3 linked regions of the Arabidopsis thaliana genome follow. The protein of the gene in region 3 purifies or fractionates together with the protein of the main gene of each other region. This does not show direct contact. Each region holds a gene or a part of one and is shown on either strand. Other genes may lie near its edges. The genes, in order: VHA-A, HA1 and BI1.

What was found.
Region 1: the proteins of BI1 (region 3) and VHA-A purify together in Arabidopsis thaliana (affinity purification with western blotting, with the first as the bait; one study listed by BioGRID). This does not show direct contact.
Region 2: the proteins of BI1 (region 3) and HA1 purify together in Arabidopsis thaliana (affinity purification with western blotting, with the first as the bait; one study listed by BioGRID). This does not show direct contact.

What each region holds. Positions count from the first base shown.
Region 1 is NC_003070.9:29,658,326-29,665,682, reverse strand, and holds VHA-A (vacuolar ATP synthase subunit A), read right to left. Parts: upstream 5,596-7,357; 5' UTR 5,436-5,595; exon of another isoform or gene 5,285-5,435; 5' UTR 5,221-5,284; coding exon 5,143-5,220; intron 4,891-5,142; coding exon 4,764-4,890; intron 4,654-4,763; coding exon 4,598-4,653; intron 4,518-4,597; coding exon 4,461-4,517; intron 4,355-4,460; coding exon 4,243-4,354; intron 4,156-4,242; coding exon 4,118-4,155; intron 3,989-4,117; coding exon 3,887-3,988; intron 3,700-3,886; coding exon 3,643-3,699; intron 3,551-3,642; coding exon 3,479-3,550; intron 3,395-3,478; coding exon 3,293-3,394; intron 3,208-3,292; coding exon 3,145-3,207; intron 3,067-3,144; coding exon 2,934-3,066; intron 2,845-2,933; coding exon 2,738-2,844; intron 2,635-2,737; coding exon 2,440-2,634; intron 2,253-2,439; coding exon 2,166-2,252; intron 2,083-2,165; coding exon 1,978-2,082; intron 1,777-1,977; coding exon 1,679-1,776; intron 1,581-1,678; coding exon 1,502-1,580; intron 1,406-1,501; and 5 more. Other genes in the region: AT1G78910 (Pseudouridine synthase family protein), read right to left, coding at 94-414; AT1G78895 (Reticulon family protein), read left to right, coding at 5,817-5,983, 6,448-6,589, 6,808-6,877, 7,255-7,357. UniProt on the Arabidopsis thaliana protein: Catalytic subunit of the peripheral V1 complex of vacuolar ATPase. V-ATPase vacuolar ATPase is responsible for acidifying a variety of intracellular compartments in eukaryotic cells.
Region 2 is NC_003071.7:8,219,507-8,227,523, reverse strand, and holds the start of HA1 (H[+]-ATPase 1), read right to left. Parts: upstream 6,011-8,017; 5' UTR 5,667-6,010; coding exon 5,625-5,666; intron 5,372-5,624; exon of another isoform or gene 4,347-5,371; coding exon 4,227-4,346; intron 4,134-4,226; coding exon 3,897-4,133; intron 3,813-3,896; coding exon 3,051-3,812; intron 2,956-3,050; coding exon 2,833-2,955; intron 2,755-2,832; coding exon 2,650-2,754; intron 2,559-2,649; coding exon 2,414-2,558; intron 2,325-2,413; coding exon 2,160-2,324; intron 2,068-2,159; coding exon 1,829-2,067; intron 1,735-1,828; coding exon 1,702-1,734; intron 1,612-1,701; coding exon 1,530-1,611; intron 1,443-1,529; coding exon 1,282-1,442; intron 1,153-1,281; coding exon 979-1,152; intron 895-978; coding exon 712-894; intron 626-711; coding exon 444-625; intron 353-443; coding exon 256-352; 3' UTR 1-255. UniProt on the Arabidopsis thaliana protein: The plasma membrane H(+) ATPase of plants and fungi generates a proton gradient that drives the active transport of nutrients by H(+)-symport. The resulting external acidification and/or internal alkinization may mediate growth responses.
Region 3 is NC_003076.8:19,134,219-19,138,598, forward strand, and holds BI1 (BAX inhibitor 1), read left to right. Parts: upstream 1-1,733; 5' UTR 1,734-1,852; coding exon 1,853-1,966; intron 1,967-2,363; coding exon 2,364-2,507; intron 2,508-2,605; coding exon 2,606-2,697; intron 2,698-2,797; coding exon 2,798-2,984; intron 2,985-3,076; coding exon 3,077-3,232; intron 3,233-3,316; coding exon 3,317-3,367; 3' UTR 3,368-3,807; downstream 3,808-4,380. Other genes in the region: LIL3:2 (Chlorophyll A-B binding family protein), read right to left, coding at 1-253, 340-477, 636-1,020. UniProt on the Arabidopsis thaliana protein: Suppressor of apoptosis. Modulator of endoplasmic reticulum stress-mediated programmed cell death. Involved in methyl jasmonate-induced leaf senescence through regulating cytoplasmic calcium level.

The sequences.
Region 1 (7,357 bases), on a different chromosome or scaffold from region 3:
TTAGACAATGTGATGATCCAAAAGAATAGTCTAACAAAGCTCAATCAAATATTTGATCAGAAGTAATGAAATTGTTATACCAGAGACACTCACAAGGCCCTTTGTGAAATGAGTTTGAATAGCCTTATCATAGATTTCTTCAAAATAGTACTTGACCCAGCTTATAGCTGTGACGTGGCCGCCGCTATCTCCATCGTCGCCGTCAGCTCCGGCGTTTTTGCCAGGTAATGGATGACCGGGAAATGGCGGCAGGGATATCAGCTGACGTGGCAGTGGTCCTTGCTTCGGTGGTCCCAGGTGTGCTACGTTGTTTGTCACGCGGATCACCGAAGACGGCGGCGGAGCGACTCTCGAGTACCGCCGTATTAGTACGGTCAAGTAAATCTGACGGAAGCATGTCTTGGCCTTCCACATGGGGGTTTATCAGAAGACCGGAGGACTCTGTGTCTAGGGTCAGAATGCTGAATGCCGGCGGTTCTTCTTCGCGCGCTACGGCCGAGGAAGACGAAGAGAGAAAGAACGCGACGGGGAAAGCCAATTTGGGCCTGTTGGGCTTTCAATTCTTACTAATTGACTCGTCGATCCAACTCGGTCGTGCTAAATAAATTCATGGGTCATATCACAGACTTGCTCATGAAATTAGTACAACTAAATTATTTTGTGATTTTAAATTTTCCTCTTCAATTACCGATTTATTATGTTTACACCACCAAACCATAAAATGAAAAAAAAATTACAAAATGATGGTATTTATTATGAGAAAAATAACGGTATCCCCAATATGTTTTTGGACATAAAATTAACTTATTGAATTGAGAGGGTACATCAAATCAAATATATGACTCACATTGGCTGTACCTTATTACCACCGAAATAAAAACATGAAAACAACGAATCAAACATATTACACAGCACAGCACAGCCGGAGAATCATGACGCTCACAGAGCTAAAACTCAATCGATCGACCAAACCGATAAATAAAATACCGACCACTATGATAGTTGTTGGTTCAAAAACACAAGAAAGAGACCATGAATGAAACCCTCTTTCTCCAAAAACAACCCAATTCTGTGGATTTTTTTTACTTGCGGTGGAGACTCGACAGCTTACCGAGTTTCATCTTCCAAAGCACGGAATCCAGCATTGAGATCGTCGTACAATTTCTTGAATTTTTCCACCAGTGTATCCTCCCCTTCTGCTGGGTCTTCGAACTTCTGAGACCTGTAGTTCCCATAATTCCGTTTCAGACCATTTTATTAGAGCGCTATGTAACAGAGTCATAGAGAAATCGAGGAGAAGCAAGTCGTTTGCTTACACTAAACGGTAGAAAAGATCTCCTAAGCGATGCTTGATAAGAGTGTAGGTAATCTTTTGACCGTCCATTCCAGCTGCTCTCTCAACCGCCTGTGTATCCAAAACAATTAATGGGTTTTTACCTAGACAAACCAATTGACCTTAATCCCCACTTAGCATAGTATGTATAAATCTCATCTTATTTACCTGGTTGGCTAGGTTGTAGAAATGGATAATGTTACGCATCATCCACACGGACTTGTAGAAAGGACAGAATTTGTCATATCTGTCAAAAAATTCATCCAAAAGGTTCAAGAGTGAATAACCCGTTGAGAGAGAAAGAGAGAGTACTAAACCAAAACGAAGGGAGCCAACAAATCTTACGGTGTAAACGCGTTTTGAGCAAGGTAATCTTCCCTCAATAGCTTAGCTGTTTCCAATGTGATTTTGTCCCCTTCTGCTAGCGCATCTTTTCCTACAAGCTGCACACAAAAAGCAATGTGTGGGTCAAATAAGTTCCTTTCGAAAAGAATAACGTGCTAGCACTGTTTTCCTTCTATAACTCAAGTCAAGTTTACATGCCAAGATTATCGTTCAACCCCTTCAAAATGTATTAGGGTTGCTGAGACAAGAGTTCATTGGTCACCACAATAGATACTTATACAAGGATAAGTGATACATACCTGGACAATTTCATTAAGATCGTCTTCCCTCTGCAACACCTCTCTGGCCTTTGTCCTGATGTTGATGAAATCTGGATCGAACTTCTCATAGAAAGATTCCAGTGCCTAAAACAAAAAGCAGCGTTTTATATACAAGATTTCTAGATAGTAAACCAAGACAAGTTTGAACCGAGAATATTTAAGCATACCGTTGAATACTTTGAGTAAGAAATCAACCAATTAACAGAGGGAAAATGTTTTCTCTGGGCAAGCTTTTTGTCCAAACCCCAGAAGACCTGCAGAAGAAAAGAGAAACAACCAGAATGGAAGAGTAAGCATTTCAAAGTGGAGAAAAAAAATGCTTAAATATACGAGTCTGCGGCAGATCTAAAACTAAACACCATCTGGTTCATCTCAACCAACATATACGACTATGTAATCTACAATGGAAGATAGGGAAGCAGACATGAACCAAATAATCACCTGCACAATACTAAGGGTTGCTGAAGTCACAGGATCTGAAAAGTCTCCTCCAGGAGGCGAAACTGCACCAACAATTGTAACACTTCCGTTACGTTCTGGTCCACCAAGACATTTTACTTTACCAGCACGTTCATAGAAAGATGCTAAACGTGCTGCTAGATAGGCTGGATATCCACTGTCAGCAGGCATTTCAGCCTATAAAACAAAGCAAAATAGGTGTCAATAAACTGAGAAAAAGAAAAGTGAGATGAGGACAACACGAACATCCATATAGCAAAAGTGAAACGCATAAGATTACCAGCCGTCCTGAAATTTCTCTTAATGCTTCTGCCCAACGGGAAGTTGAGTCTGCCATCATACTAACATTGTAGCCCATATCTCTAAAATATTCAGCGATTGTGATTCCTGGAATTCACATTAAAAAAAAAAAAAAAAAATGAGCATAGGCAATGGGATTCATCAATAACTATTAAATCTGTGTGCCTGAACATTACCTGTGTAAATTGAGGCTTCACGAGCAGCCACAGGCATGTTAGAGGTGTTAGCAACAAGTGTGGTACGTTTCATGACAGATTCCTCACGGCCATCAGGCAACGTCATTGTCAATTGTGGGAAGTCCATAAGAACCTAATTTATGAGAAACAATCAGATCAAATGTCCGATTTGTATGAACAATATGCAAATTTAGAATGAGAAGAGATATACCTCAGCCATTTCATTTCCTCTCTCTCCACAACCAACATACACAACAGCATCAGAGTTGGAGTACTATGTAAATAAGAAAAAGTTAGCTTTGGAAATTCAATCTATCCAGTAATTAAATGGAACAAAACCAGAGAGTGTCACAAGGTACCTTGGAAAGTGCCTGACTGATAACAGTTTTCCCACAGCCAAAAGCACCAGGAATGGCACAGGTTCCACCAAGAACAGAAGGGAAAAGGGCATCAAGAACACGCTGACAACAGGAAAAGAAAGCAATCAGCAACACATGTATTCAAATGACTATCACCACTGTAAGAAGAATTAATCGAGTAATCACCTGCCCCGTAAGTAGAGGAGTATCGGCAGCAAGCTTTGATGCAACTGGCCTAGGCGTACGTACAGGCCAGCTCTGACATATATCAACCAAACCAATTTAACAGAGTGAACCAAATAGCTTAAAATTTACGTTTGCAAGTAGGAAGATTAAAGATACATGCAAACCTGAAGCATGGTGTAAGATTTCTTGATCCCCTGGAATTCAAGCTCTATCACGGTATCCTGAGAAATGAAAATCACCGACAAACAATTATTAGCAACAAGCCAAACATGATCTACAACAGGAAGTGATTACCAATTGATCAAGTTAGCCATATATTAACTCAAACGTTGAATTCAAAGAAATCAAGGAAGAAAAAGTTTGAAACGTATTTATTCATAACTGTTTGAGGGAAACTTAAAGTCAAACCTTAAGCGAATATTGACCAGCTGGAGCAATGTAAGTGATCTTCCCCATGGCATCCGGAGGAAGGGCAACGAGGTGATTCATCAAAGTGTTCTCAAAGACAGTCTGCATTCCAAAGTTTAATTTGACTTTCAGAAAAAACTATTCCCAGTGTAAACAAGGGAAACACCACGGTAACTGTGTAAATAGATTCCCTTGTCAAAAGCAGATTAAAGAGGAGACCAATAAACTTACAGCATACAAGTCACCACCAGTTATTGTGTCTCCCTCGACTGCAAACAAAACGAATTCAATTGACCATCAAGATTAAAACCAAATGAACACTTCCATAGACAGGCATATGGAGTAAACCACATTACCAAATTTATTGGGCTGGAACTCCCAAAGACAATCTTTGTCAAGAGCTGGAACAGACACACCCCGAGGAATGTACACATCACCGGATATTCTTGCAATAGTCTTCAAAGGCCTCTGTGACATTTAAAGAAATGAAACCAAAGAATCGTAAGAAGCCACATAAAACGAATCATAAAAGTAAAAAAAATCATGTCTAGCAAGATTATAAATCCAACTGAACCTGAATTCCATCAAAGATATTTCCCAATATTCCTGGCCCGAGCTCCACAGAAAGTGGCTGTAGTAAATTCAGGACAAATTATATGTTAGCTGCAGATGAACAACACTAGAAAAAACCAAGATAAATAACTCGCGAACCTTGTGTGTTCGAAGAACGGGATCATTAACTGTCAATCCAGCTGTTTCCTCGTAAACTGATCAAAAGGAAGTTGCCAAATATCAGTTAAGATATCTTACTTCGACAGAGGTCACATAAGATGCCGTAAAGTAAATTACACTAGGAAGCACAATAGAAGAAACAAACCTTGGATGGTGGCAGAATCTCCTTCAAGACGGATGATTTCACCAATCAAATTATCATGACCAACACGCACTAACTCATACATAGCAGCACCGGCCATACCATCGGCAACAACAACAGGACCTGAAACCTGCATCCCATAAAAGAAAATGTCAAATCACTGAGAACTATCAGATCAGATCAGAAATTCAAAGACGAGGTTACTGAACCAACGCGGAATCAACCGATTCAATCACTGATAACTATCAGATCAAATCTAGCTATCCCACCAATCTTACCTGGTAAGCAGATCAACTATTTCATCTATCCATCACCAAAAACTAACATCGCAAAACAGAAAAAAAAACAAATTGAAACCAGATCGAACGAAACAGGATAATACCTTACGAACGTAACCATACTCGCTCTCCTTCTCATCGTCCTCGAAGGTCGTAAGCTTTCCTCCGTAAAACGCCGGCATTTTCTCAGCAATCAGAGATTCAAAAACTCAAATCCGATCGGCCAAAAAAATCAAAATTCACCTCCTAGAAAATGCCGAGATCCGATCAAACAACAACAACAACAAATCAGAAATCGCCAAAATCAGACAACTCTTAAGGTTTTTCAAAGAGAGCGATACAATAAATCAGAAAGAAACAAAAAGGATCAGAGAGAGAGGGATAGAGATCTCCTAACCAGTGAACAGACAGGAAGAGTGGTCACAAGAAGAAGAAGAGAGAGGTGGATGCACGTAGATAGATATTGAAAGAGTTGGAGAAGTTTTGATCTGATTGACGAAATCGTGGAGTGATCCGGTACATGACTACACACGATACGCGCGTAGATCTGGACTTTGTCGTTAATAGCCACGTGACAGTTTATTTATTGGGCTTTATAATATATACTTACGGCCCAATAAGTGGGTCCGTTTAGTCAACAAAGACATGCGGCTTGAGAATCTCTCTCTCTCTCTGATCAAGCCGGAAAATTCACAAAAGTGATCAGTTTTGTTTTCTCGGGGAAATTTTCTGAAAGTGAAGAAAGGGAAAGCAAGTTTTTTTTGAAGTGGGGAGAGAGATGGGAGAAATGGGGAAGGCGATGGGATTGCTGATTAGCGGGACGCTTGTGTATTACCATTGTGCATATCGTAACGCGACTCTTCTCTCTCTCTTCTCCGATGTTTTCATTGTTCTCTTATGCTCTCTCGCCATTCTCGGTCTCCTTTTTCGCCAACTCAATGTCTCGTAAGTTCCCTCACATTTTTCGCCTAAATCTCTCTGGTTACGGTATTGGATTTTGTTCTTTGGTCTCTGATTTAGTCATTTGCTGTTTGGTGACCGAGTAGATACGAAATTTGTTGGCTCCTTTGATTTGTGACAAGTTTGAATACTTGCTCGATATAATTGTTTAATTGGGTTGTACTTTGTAATGTGGTTGTGCAATCAGTTATGTTAACTTGATTATGAAATTGATTTCATGTATTCTCTGAAGGCATGAACTGAAACTAGTTCTCATTGTATTTCTGGGTGAATCAATGATGCATCGATCTTATTTGATTACTATCATCTTCCGTTCTCTGTGATCAATGCATAGTCATAATCCTAGAATGTTCAATGATATCATTATCTTCTGCTCATTGTGTGTATAACTCTTCAAGACCCTTGCTTTATCATACCACATGATTTACAATCCTATAACTTTTCTAAAGGGTACCAGTGGATCCACTAGAGTGGCAAATATCACAGGACACAGCAAGTAACATCGTTGCACGCTTAGCTAATACCGTTGGAGCAGCAGAGGGTGTTCTGAGGGTTGCAGCAACTGGACATGACAAGAGACTTTTTGTCAAGGTAAGTGTGTCCTTTGTTACCAACTTACTATGTACAAGATACCGTTACTATTCTTGGATCATGAGTGTATCAAAATGCATTAGCATCAATATATCACCACAGAGATTCTCTTAGAACCCTAGTGTCTTTACCCAGTTACCATATAAATGCATTGCTAATTGTTAACTCAGTAATTGTGCTCTATACTGAATATGTTTGTTTTTTGCTTTTTCCTTTAGGTCGTAATTTGCCTTTACTTCTTATCAGCGCTTGGGCGACTCATATCAGGTGTAACCGTTGCTTATGCAGGTAAAGCATTCACATTTCATCTCAAATTTATACAGAGTTTCATTTTAATGTGGAAGAGTGTAGTATTTCATTGAATTTTAAAGCATTCACATTTTGTCTCAAACTTATACAAAGTTCATTCTAATGTGGAAGAGTGTGCTCTTACCTTATAAGTAGCATTTCATGGAATTATAAAGCATTCACATTTTGTCTCAAACTTATACAAAGTTTCATTTTAATGTGGAAGAGTGAGCTGTTACCTTATGAGTAGCATTACATACCAATATGTCGGATTTCTTAGCATTTAACAAAAGTTGGCCATTTGGGAAACCCTTCGTCTTGCCTGTGTCAAATATTGCAAACCAATGATCTCTGACTAGTTCTTCTCCCTGAAACAGGACTATGCTTGTTCTGTCTCTCCATGCTCTGTCAGACTTCTCAATCTCTTGGAAACTGTGTACTAAAGCGAGGAAATGGCCAGATTTTAGAACAAGAAGCACA
Region 2 (8,017 bases), on a different chromosome or scaffold from region 3:
CTTGTCTCTTCAAAGGCAAAGGGCCTTGTTTCTTCAAAGGCAAATTTGCAAAGCTCATATCGAGTAGGAGTTTTAAGAACAATGACTAACAATAACAAAAAGAAAAAAGAGTTTTGGAAGAGTTATGGCAATACACAAGAGTTCTCTTCCCTCTACTGTAATGACTTTTAAAGAGAGATTTGTGAAGACAAAACAAAAGATGAGTCATGATGGGGTTGGTTTTCGGTAAATGTTTGTGTTGTTGTGCAACTCCAACTACACAGTGTAGTGATGTCCTGCTGTATCAATGTCCAATCCCTTTAGCTTTGCGACTGATTCCACATGTCCCTTCAATGTGTGAAGCTCCCTAAGCCTGTCACAACATAATATTAAATCATTCACCAATCAGAACCTCTATCAAATGGCATCTTTCCGTTGAGATTCGTTTTAATCACACTACTTACCTAGCTATCTCGGCCCTTCTCTTGGCTTGCTCTGCGATCTCAGACAGCTCTCTGTAACTTCCTTTCTCTGGGAAGATATTAACATCTTCTTTTGGCTGCAGACCGTGCAATGTCCTTTGAGCTTGTGCCCATTGAGCTTCTCTTTCTCCAATACCGTAATCTTTCTTGGTTGTGAAAGCGGTCTGTTAACATAGAAGAAGATGTGATTAGTATGTTACCATCAGCTTGTAAAAGAGGTCTCTATAGTGGTAGATAGACTTGTATGTACCCTGTTGTCAAACAAGCTGGCCCAAGCCTTTCCACTCAAGATATACCGAATGGCAAACTTCAAAATGTCCTGTGGGAAGTATGTTACGATACTGTAAATCCAAATCACACCTGCCCATCCCCAACCGATACCCTTCACCTTTGCAAATGTCCAGTCGGCATACACTGCGATCAAAGTTGCAACCTGCATTTGGAAGGAGTGAATGAATTCAGTGGGTTTCTTTAACCTAATCGAAGTTCAGAAAATATGTGTGCTTGATGTCCTTACCAGTTGTGCAATGACGAATGCAATCATCAGAAGCGCCCCAGGACGTTCGACAAATGACCAACTCCTTGACCTGGTGACAAAGATTAGAGCTTGACTGATGATACTAACTTGTAGATACACAGCACCCATTAGTTCATCGTTATTGTCCCTGATTGACCTCACACCGAACTTGTCCTGCAAATCGAAGGTGAGACAATTTTTTAAGACTCAGAGCAAAAGGCCTGGCCATATATATCTATATAGTCCCTGAAGCACCTGTACCAAAAAAAAGAGAAAAGAAATGAAAATAAACTGATGATGTACCGAGAAAAAGTCGGTCTTGTGAGCAGCCCAGAAGAAAATAACACTCATAATGGCTTGGTAGCCTCCCAGCACAATTCCAGTGGCGAAAATTTCTTTGAGCTTCCAGCTATCAGGTGTGGGAGATGGCTTGACTCTGTCCTTTGAGATTGTCATGATAGTACCTAAAAGGTAGTAACACATAATACCATAAGATATAGCTGATAACGAGTGAGGACGCTGTCTAGAAAAGTAGGATGTTATTTGCTCACCATCATTAAGGATGGCAATAATCAGAACCATGAACGCTGAGAAGTCAAATTCCCATATCAAAGCAATAAGCATGAAACCAAACTGCAAGAGTTACAACGCAATATGATCAGTATACAAAAAGTAAAATCATGCTAAACAAGTGATAGATTTGTAAAACGGGTTTCTACTTACCACAATACGGATTGTGATTGAGACTGCATAAATCTGTCACAAGCAGGAAACTAAAATTATTAGTTTCCAGCGCAAACGAACACAAGTGGTGGGCATAATATATTAGAGTGAGATTAAGAATACGCACGGTGTAGTTCTTCATTCTCTGGAAGATAGCTCTGCTAGTGAGAACGGCACTGATGATGACACTCAGCCCAGGTTCCGTGAGGACGATATCTGAAGCACCACGAGCAGCATCTGTAGCATCGGCCACAGCAATACCGATATCTGCTTTCTTCAAAGCGGGTGCATCATTAACACCATCACCGGTCATACCAACAATGTGCTTCCTCTCCTGCAGCTTTTTCACAATTTCATATTTGTGCTCTGCAATCAGTAACCATAAGAACCTTGGATCAATATAACAAAACTTTATAATGAACATGTGATGAGGTTTGAAACTGAAAGCAAGGCATAACCTGGAAAGACGCCGGCAAACCCATCAGCCTTCTCGATCAACTCCTCAACAGGGATGGATGCAATGTTCGAGTCCTTGTCGGTACCGAGAAGAGCCGCAGATGGATACATATTGGTTCCCATTCCAAGCCTGCGACCGGTTTCCTTACCAATAGCAAGTTGATCACCTGGCAACGTAGTTAGAGCGCAAGTTAGGGGAAAACATCTAAATAACCATGGATTTCATGGGAAAAAAATGATGAATAAGAATAGTTACCAGTGATCATCTTCACATTAACACCTAGATTCAACGCCCTACGAATGGTTTCGGCACTGTCGTGTCTTGGAGGGTCAAAAAGAGGCAACAAGCCAACAAATTCCCATGGTCCACCTGGGCTTTCTTTTGTTTTCTCGGGTACCACCTAAAAAGGAATATGCAATTAAACAGTTGATTTACAGGCCAAAAAAAAAACCCAAATAAGACCAATGTAAAAATTGCTTGTAAAAAAGTACCTGACGAGCTACTGCCAACGACCTAAGACCGCGCTCAGCGTACTTGTCAATACAAGAGAGTACCTTCTTCCTAAGGTCAGGCCTGGCATTGGCAAGGTCAAGGATCTGTGTGGGAGAATCGAATTAGTACACAGAATAAAGGAAAAACGCAACATCTTTAGGAGAAAGTTGAAGATTCATCACCTGCTCGGGAGCACCTTTGCTGACTCTGTGCCAGTTACCATCAGAGTCGATGTAAGTCAAAGCAGTTCTCTTATCCACAGGGTTGAATGGAAGGAAGTGAACCTCTCTGATTCCAGCTCGGGCCTATGAAAATCCAAGTGAAACATAAGAAATTAAGAACTTGTTTTCTCGACCTTTCACTAAACTAAAGAAGTAATTCAAAATGATTAGAGTTATACCTCTTTCGGATCAGCAAGCATTCCAACCATGGCTGCATCAATAGCGTCCTGGTTCTCCACCCTAGAAGCCATAGCTGCAAATAGTAGAACTTGATCTTTCTCCACACCCTTGCAGAAAACCTCAACCAAGTTTTTATCCACACTCAATTTATTAAGGGTTAGTGTCCCGGTTTTGTCACTGCAAAGGACATCCATTCCCGCCATTTCTTCAATGGCTGTCATACGTTTGGTGATAGCACCTTGCTGAGACAACCTGTGAGACCCGATAGCCATAGTCACAGACAAGACCGTGGGCATAGCAATGGGGATACCACCGATCAAGAGGACCAAGAGATTGTCAATTCCATCTCTGTACTTTCGGTGTTGGATAGGGTACATGACGACTATTTCAATCGCTATACCAATAGCAATAGAACAGATACAGAAGTTTCCAATGGATGTAAGAACTTTCTGGAAGTGCCCAACTTGGTTAGTGCTGTCCACAAGGTGAGCAGCTTTACCAAAGAAGGTGTGAACTCCAGTGGCTATAACAACCGCTTCGATTTCTCCTTGTTTACAAGTTGAACCAGAGAAAACTTCTTGACCAGGGTGCTTGGTCACAGGAAGGGACTCTCCAGTTAGAGCAGACTGATCAACCTTTAAAGGATCTCCTTCAAGAAGACGGGCATCGGCTGGGATAATGTCTCCAAGTTTAATGCTAACAATATCACCTGGGACAAGGATAGCAGCCTCTTGTTCACTCCATTTTCCATCCCTAAGAACCTGAAAACAGAGAAACAGGTTAAGCTCTCTAGAAGTCTCGAAATATCTTGTACAGTAATGTCACAGCATCCACCAACATATTACCTTGGTTTTAGGAGCAAGACCAGCCATGAGAGCAGCTGCAGCATTTCCGGCGTTGTTTTCTTCAATGAAACTGATTGTGGAGTTGATAACAAGCAGACAGATAATACCCACAAAATCTTGCCAATCCGGAGGTCGATTATCACCATTAGCCAAAGCAATGGCCATGAGAGCTGCAGCTTCCATAACCCATGAAAGCGGATTCCACATGAACCCCAGAAACTTCAGAATTTTGCTTTCCTGATATTTTTTTACGAAAGATCAACCTCGTGAGTTAAACAAAACCAAAGCTTTCAATGATGATAAAACAACAATGCTAAGTCAAACTCAAACCTTCTTCTCTTCGAGCTTGTTGGGGCCAAATATCACAATCCTGTCTTCCCCTTCCTGCGTTGTCAATCCTTCCCTTGTACATTTTAGCTGCTGGAAAACTTCCTCAATCGGAATTTTTTCCTGAGAATCAAAGCAAAAGTTTTGATCAGAACCCAAACAATAGTAACTCAAACATCAAACAAGAACAAAAGGGTAAAAAAGACAAAAACTTTTCTAGTTTTGAAATCTTTTTACAAATGTCAGAAACGATCCAACTCGGCGACTCGGAAGATGAAGAGTGGCGTTGACTCAAGTTGTGACAATGAAAGGTGAAAAGAATCTGGCAGTGGAGGATAGAGGGACCACCACCACCACCACCACTACTACTACTACTTCAATGCACGTGTTATGGAACGTGTAACACACGCGCCTGCGGGATTCCCTCCATGAAAGGTGGCTACTTTCCGGCGTGAAAGCCAAAGTCCGGTTAAGGGTATTTCGGTCATAAAACAATTTCACTAAACAAAATCAATTACAATAGAGGAATTCACAAGTTGCTTCTACTGATAGATGTTTTACAAAAGGACAAAGAAGTTCAAAAAAAAAAAAAACGTACTACGGAAAGGTACATCAAAAAAATTCGAACATCAACAACAATTTAAAAAAAAGTTGAAAACTTAAATTTATTAAAAACTCTGGTATTTTTCATGGGTGGAAGATAGAAGAATATTATGAACTGCTTTAACATCAAAAACGTTATCTTTACAAAAAAAAGATGATTTTTTTTAGAGAAAGAAAGTTATATATCACAAGCAAAATCAAACTTTTTGCGATTTTTTTCTCTTTTAATAAATATGTGAAAGAGACTTTTGTTGAGACGTAGCTTAAGCTTAGCTCCACCACTAAAAAGACTTATCTTTTTATTCAGCGTTTCACATGTGTGTAGTTTTTGGGTAGATCTACTTTTTCTGATGAACAGTATCAAAATCTACTTATTTTTGGCTTAATACCTAAAACCTTTAAAAGACATCTGTTATTTTACCCTAATTTTAGACCAAAATTAATAAAGTTGGAATCTTGATTTGGGTTTTGTATAGGATCCATGATAGAATCATCGAAAATGAGGCAGATACAATTGGGGGGAAAAATCGGTTTTTTTTTTTTTTGCGGATTTTTCGGGTTCTTGAGGAATTAAGATTCAGTTTTCGATCAAAGAAAAAAGGAGTAGAATCATCGGAAAATGATTTGAAGAAAAAAGGGTAAAAGAATCAAACGTGAAACCATGCAAGGAACAACAACGAAACAGATCTATTTCTCATTCAAGCAAATCATCGAACACTTTGTGGGCATGATGAATAAACACTAAAAATGAAATTAAAAACTCGAAGAATTTAAGCGAGAAGAGAATCGAAATAATACCAGATCAACGGTCTCGTTCTTGATATCTTCGAGACCTGACATCTTCACCCAGAAGAAATCAACAAAACGACGCCCCTCTCTGTCGTTTCACCACTCGATCACACACACACACACGAGAGAGAGAGAGAGAAAGCGAGCTTCTGTTGCAGAGGAGATATACGCCTTCTCTTTTTATAACCACTCAAAACGACGAAACTCTCCACCGTTTCAGACTTTTATTTTTCATTCATTTCGACCGTTGATTATGATTTGGTGATCATCAATGGTTGTTAATTGTTTATGGGTCCTTTCTCACTTGGAAAACGTATATTTGACTTTGGATTTTTGGTTTTATAATTAAAATTTCAGATATCATACTGTTTTTTGAAACATTGTTTACTTAAACTGGTTTTATACTCTGATCCTGTAATGTAAGAGAATCTATATTTATTTTTTTCTATTAAGAGAAACTTTTTACTTTTGAGTATCAAATTTAGTAGAAATCTTAACATTAACACAAATTTAGGATAATATACTAAACTTACATAAGAAATTTAATTCTATGGAGTTAGTATTTTTCTAGATATTTATGCATATTAGAATATGATTTAAAAGACAAAACTGTAATGTATAGATTTTAAAAAATTATACAGTATTGAATTATCATAAGAAAAATATCTAAGATAAATTTAAATTTTTGATTAATATTGTGGTTATGTATGGACAGAAAATATGCACAATCATAAGTTCTTCACTGATATCTTTTTGTGTATATAAAATTGATAATCAATAAGGAAAAATAATATACATAATAATTATATGAACATTGAATAATGCTTAAAATTTGGGTTCTTTTTTGTTCCCAAAGAGTTGTGCAAAGCTAATCTTAATGACTTCTATATAAGTTACTCATTTTGAAGGAAAAAAAAAACAAACAAAATTTAAAATACATACATGGATTTGTGAATATACATATATATATATATATATATATATAGAGAGAGAGAGAGAGAGAGAGAGAGAGTAATATAGATATAACATGTATATTTGATATATGTGTGTAGATACTAACTTTATAATTCCCTATGAGACAAATGCAAAAGTTATTTTCTAGATCAACCTAATTTGCTCATAAGTTTAATTTTCATGTTGATTGTTTAGGTCGGACTTTTAAATCAAAGTGTTTTTAAAACAATTCGTATGTAAACATTTTTCCTTCGGATTATACAACCAATCAAAAAGTTGAATTTTAATTAATTTGTAATTGGAAAATTAAAATCAACCCGTATAATACTAATTTGTTTAATAATATGTTAAATAATAGTGGCGAAGTAGAAACCGAGAAAATAAAAATTTAAATGATAATTACTAATTGAGATAAAAAAAACTAAATATTTTCTAAGTTTAGTGAAACATAAAGTTAAAATGACGATTCTAAAACACTATTTAAGAATACCGATGTTGAAAAGAGATGTTCATAAATTTATTACTGATGTTCAAATAAATTAACTTGACCTGTTTTAAAGGTGGTGAGTACACTAAATTAACTTGATTTGGTCTCTTAAGGAAATTAAAAGACAAGTGTGAAAAAAAAAAAAAAAATTAAAAGACAAGTTTCTTCCAGAAAAAGGGATGTTTTGAAATATAAAATTAGGTTTAGACACAGATTATAAAATTTAGGAGTTTGGGGGAAAATATTCAGATGACGTCGATCTAAAACTATAATAAAACACATATTAAGCTAGTAATGATATAAAACAATTTGTTATATGTGAAATTTTGGTAATCCTAATCTCATATTTATGGCTTTAAAGGATTGTAATGAAGCAATGGCTCTTCCAAGGTGCCTCATGGCAAGGTCAGCAATTGCTGGAACAATTCACATGTTTGTGGATATCATTATTTTTGTAATTTAACCAAAAATTGTTTTCAAGGTTATTTATTTATTTATTCAGCAAATTGGCTGATGAATATTGACTTTTTGATCGTGCTGGGTCCCCCAATAATACACCTCCCCTACGTAATTTTTTTTTCTTGCTTCCATAAATTCGATTGTATTTTATCTAAAAGATCGATTTCATAAGAGAATTTTAAAAACAAAGAAACAAGAAGATGATGGTTTAATTCAACTGGATATATATCGGCACATATGGGCAGGTTTTTCTCATTTATTATTTGATCATTTATGTATCTGATAGACAAAATCAATTTAACTTTCATAGGTAAATACATAAAAGTATTTATTTAAATGTGTATGCTTTTTTTTTTAGGATTTCAAAAAGTTAAATTTATTCGTCATATTCTTTGTTTTTATAACAAGGAAATATAAAACCAACATCCAAATAATCAGATCTATTTTTTGAAACATTTTTAGCTGAGTTAATTAGCAAAATATTAATGGAAAATATACAAAA
Region 3 (4,380 bases):
CACTTCTTTGAAGAAACTGTTGATGAATCTGGCTCTTTCCATGCAGCTTGCCATTGTTTGTCATATAACGTAGTCTCATCGAACAGATCCTTAAGTTTGTCTAAATCTTCATTCTTACGGATGAAGAGAACTCCAGCTACAGCCACAAACAAGAGTGTTTTGCAGAAGAAATTTCCCATTTGATCAACAAGTCCTACTCCGGTAAGACTATCAACAAAGTAAGCCATGAAGAACCCTATCATCGCAGCACGACCTACACCACCAAGACAACAACTTAGATGCACAAAATGTTAAGTGTACTATATCTAAGTGTTAGATCATAAGTGTTTTGAAAATCACCATTGAGAAGTTCAGCTTCAGGTAGATGGTATCTCTTCATCCATGCCCACCATGGAATAATCGAAGTATCGAAGACAACAAGCTCGTCGTTACTCGTTGTTTCCGGGTTATCTTCAAGCCATTTTCTCCTCTTTGCCTCTATAAAAATACATAATCAACACATTTACACAACAAACACTCCTCTTCTTACACACCACTATAAGAAACCAAAGCAGAATCTTCCTAATAACAAAGCATAGACATATATCAAGTATTCAAAGAATCTGTACTGAACTGAAGTTTTAAAAGGATCTAACCAGAAACGATAACAGAATCCCAATCAGTTTTGCCATCTTTCTCGAACTGTTTCAGATCCCAAGTTCCATTAACCCACTTCGCATTCTGATATTTGATTACCGTCTCAGTACTCGAATCAGTCGCTTCACCTCCAACGGCGCCGTTTTCAGAAGCGGAGGAGCTTTCGGCTGGAGATTTAACTGGAACTTCCTCTACAGCCACAGAAGCAGGCTTCGGAATCTCCACGACGGGGGAAGTCGTACCATTGTCGGAGGAAGCTCTAGGGACGGAGATTAGAGAGAAACGCTTGGTGGAGAGAAGAGAGGTTGAGATCTTGGGGATGAGATTAGGGTTCTGAAGTGAGGAAGAGATCGGCGGAGAGAATAACGCCATGGATATAGACATTTTTTTGTTAAGATCTCTCTCTCTCTCTCTCTCTCTCTTTGTCTCTCTCGATCTCCTCTGCTCTGAGTTTTTTTTTTTTTTGCAGAGTTAGTTTGAATGTGTGGTTTGAAATGAGCTATGAAGGAAGTGAAAGAGATGTTGTTATCGTTAGAAACTTGGATTGTATGTCGTTTTCCTTTTTTAATTCAGTTTAAGGAAGAAACTACGTGATGTTTTCTGTAAGCAAAAATAGAAAGATAAACGAGACTGTTAATGGGCTTTGCGATCAGCCCATATAGAACTAGAATTCAAAACCTGACATTTAACCATACTCTCGACCCATGATTTACGAATTGACTAGACGATATGAAAATGTCCTTGGTCTTTTCTTTATTAGTTTGTTAAACTTTTGATGCAACTGAAAATAATAGAGAAAGATTATAGAAAAGTCTTTGTAAATTAATAAATACTGTTATCCAAAATACTTTATCACAAAACTAAAACAAATTTATTCCTAAGCTTAAACAATAATATGTAAACTAAGTGAAAAATCCACGTGGATGATTCTTATTGGTTAGATGACGATTTAGATATTTCATTTGCTTCGCGGCAAAGTTTCAACTCATTACGACGACGACGATCTCAACGTTCAAGAAGTTTCCAGAACTACCCTTCTCCGTGTTTAATGCCCCTACACGTGTAGCGAATGCGTAATAACTACACATAAGCAGTAAGGGTATTATTGTCAATTTAGTCCCCAATCATAAGGCCCATTATAAATAACGAAAGTCTTTATTTTCTAACTAATATTTTCATTAATCGATTCTCAAAGTCAAGCAAAAAAAACGAAACAATGGATGCGTTCTCTTCCTTCTTCGATTCTCAACCTGGTAGCAGAAGCTGGAGCTATGATTCTCTTAAAAACTTCCGTCAGATTTCTCCAGCCGTTCAGAATCATCTTAAACGGGTAAGTTTCTTCGCCGCCGATGTCTATTCATATCACACACCAAACCGCGATGTCTAGATTAGAGTCGATAGATTGAGATTCGTTTCGTTTTCGTGCTATTGATCGCTCTATGTTTCTATATTTCATCTAATTTCTATGATTTGGTTTCCGTTGAACGAATCGTTGCGATCGTACTTTATCTAGGGTTTCTAATTGGGTCTTTCCATGATTTAGTTTGTTGATACTTACTTGATTATGATTCTGTGGAGATCTTTCGTTATACTTTACTCTGCTTATTATTGTTAAGATCCTCTTGTTCATTTGTCATGTTCCATTTGCAGAAGGGAATGTGATTTGTATACTCACTCATGTTACAAATGCTCATTGGTTCTTATTATTTGTGGTGGAATCTTTGTAGGTTTATTTGACCTTATGTTGTGCTCTTGTGGCGTCTGCCTTTGGAGCTTACCTCCATGTGCTCTGGAATATCGGCGGTATTCTTACAACGATTGGATGTATTGGAACTATGATTTGGCTCCTTTCATGTCCTCCTTATGAACACGTACGTGGGCTCGATTTACCCAACCCAATAGTGAATTGGCTGCTTTCTTATTGTACTAAAGTTTCGTTTTCCTGACATTGTTGTTTGTTTTGATGCAGCAAAAAAGGCTTTCTCTTCTGTTTGTGTCTGCTGTTCTTGAAGGTGCTTCTGTTGGCCCCTTGATCAAAGTGGCAATTGATGTTGACCCAAGGTGTGTTATGGTTATGCAATTTGATTCTTGTTGTTCAATGTTAATTTTCTGTTAGACTATTCTAGGAGCTGACCTTTATATCTTTCTTTTGGTTCTCCAGCATCCTTATCACTGCATTTGTTGGAACTGCGATAGCGTTTGTCTGTTTCTCAGCAGCAGCAATGTTAGCAAGACGCAGGGAGTATCTCTACCTTGGAGGACTGCTTTCATCTGGCTTGTCTATGCTAATGTGGCTCCAGTTTGCCTCTTCAATCTTTGGTGGCTCTGCATCTATCTTTAAGTTTGAGGTAAACCGAATGCCTCTGTTTTAGAATGATCTGTTCTTTGTCTTACTTTCTCAGACATCTCACCATTGTTATGAATACGTCTCTGGTTGCAGTTGTACTTTGGACTTTTGATCTTTGTGGGATACATGGTGGTGGACACACAAGAGATTATAGAAAAGGCACACCTCGGTGACATGGACTATGTAAAACATTCGTTGACCCTTTTCACTGACTTTGTAGCTGTGTTTGTTCGGATTCTCATCATAATGGTAAGTTCATTTGTCGCTGGTATAAGAAAATGGTACACTTTATTTGTTAGTAAACCGTCATTGACGGACTCTTTTGTTATGCAGTTGAAGAACTCAGCAGATAAAGAAGAGAAGAAGAAGAAAAGGAGAAACTGAGGGGATGTAAAGTAAATTTAACTTTATGGTTGTTATCGTGTGTGGCCACTTTGAAGATATTACTTGTTAGCACTCTCTATTGGTGACCAGACATGTTTCCACTAAAAAGGATCTGCTTGTTTCACTTCTGCACAAGTACCATCTTCAGATTGTAAATGACTCGAGTGTTGTTCTTCTTTTCATAAACTTTTGTTCTTTAAGAGTTTGGTTCTACTGATTGCATCTTACCAAGCTAAGAATAATGTAGGAAAATGATAATCCTGTTTAAATTTTCTAAAATGTGTGCATTTCAGATTCTCACAGTTGCAACATTTGCTATTGCTTGGAAGTTGTAATCGAAAAATAACTTGCAATTTCCATGATAAGTGTGTAAAAACCTGCATTCTCGTGAAACGTGGATTTGAAAATTGCAAATAAATGGCGTTTAGCCTTTTGTCAAACGTCTGGTTGGAGCTTTTTGTCAAAATTTGTTCCCAATAGAATGTTGTGGTACGGCAAATGGCAAGGAATATACATCAGATTTTCCTTCTCACTTTAAAAACGACGTTATGTTTTGCATAGAGTCTAGACCTCGGAGCTCATGACCCGATCTTAAGTTTGAATCCATCCGACAAACCGACGATGGAGACAATACTAGTTATATACTTGCATATGTTCTGACTTCTGGTCCAAGGCAATCTAGGATTAGCACATTAACGTGTGTAGCATTTTCAATTGGGTTTTTGATACACTCCTTTTGCAATCCATGATAACATGATTGCAACTTGCAAAAGGATCTAAAAGAAAAGAAAATTAAAAATCACTGGCCAGAAATGCAAAACATGAACCAACCCCTAGAAGTTCTGTTAATACTTAATAGATGTAACAGAAGGAAATGAAGCCAAAAACGAGAACAAAATATTTGAATAAAACAATTACATCTCTGTTTTTTCTTTGTTTGATTTTTTAAAAGAACTAGGGAAATTGGAACCGTAAATTCTTGCATTAGTTCCTTTTTTTTTCTAGGAAACAGC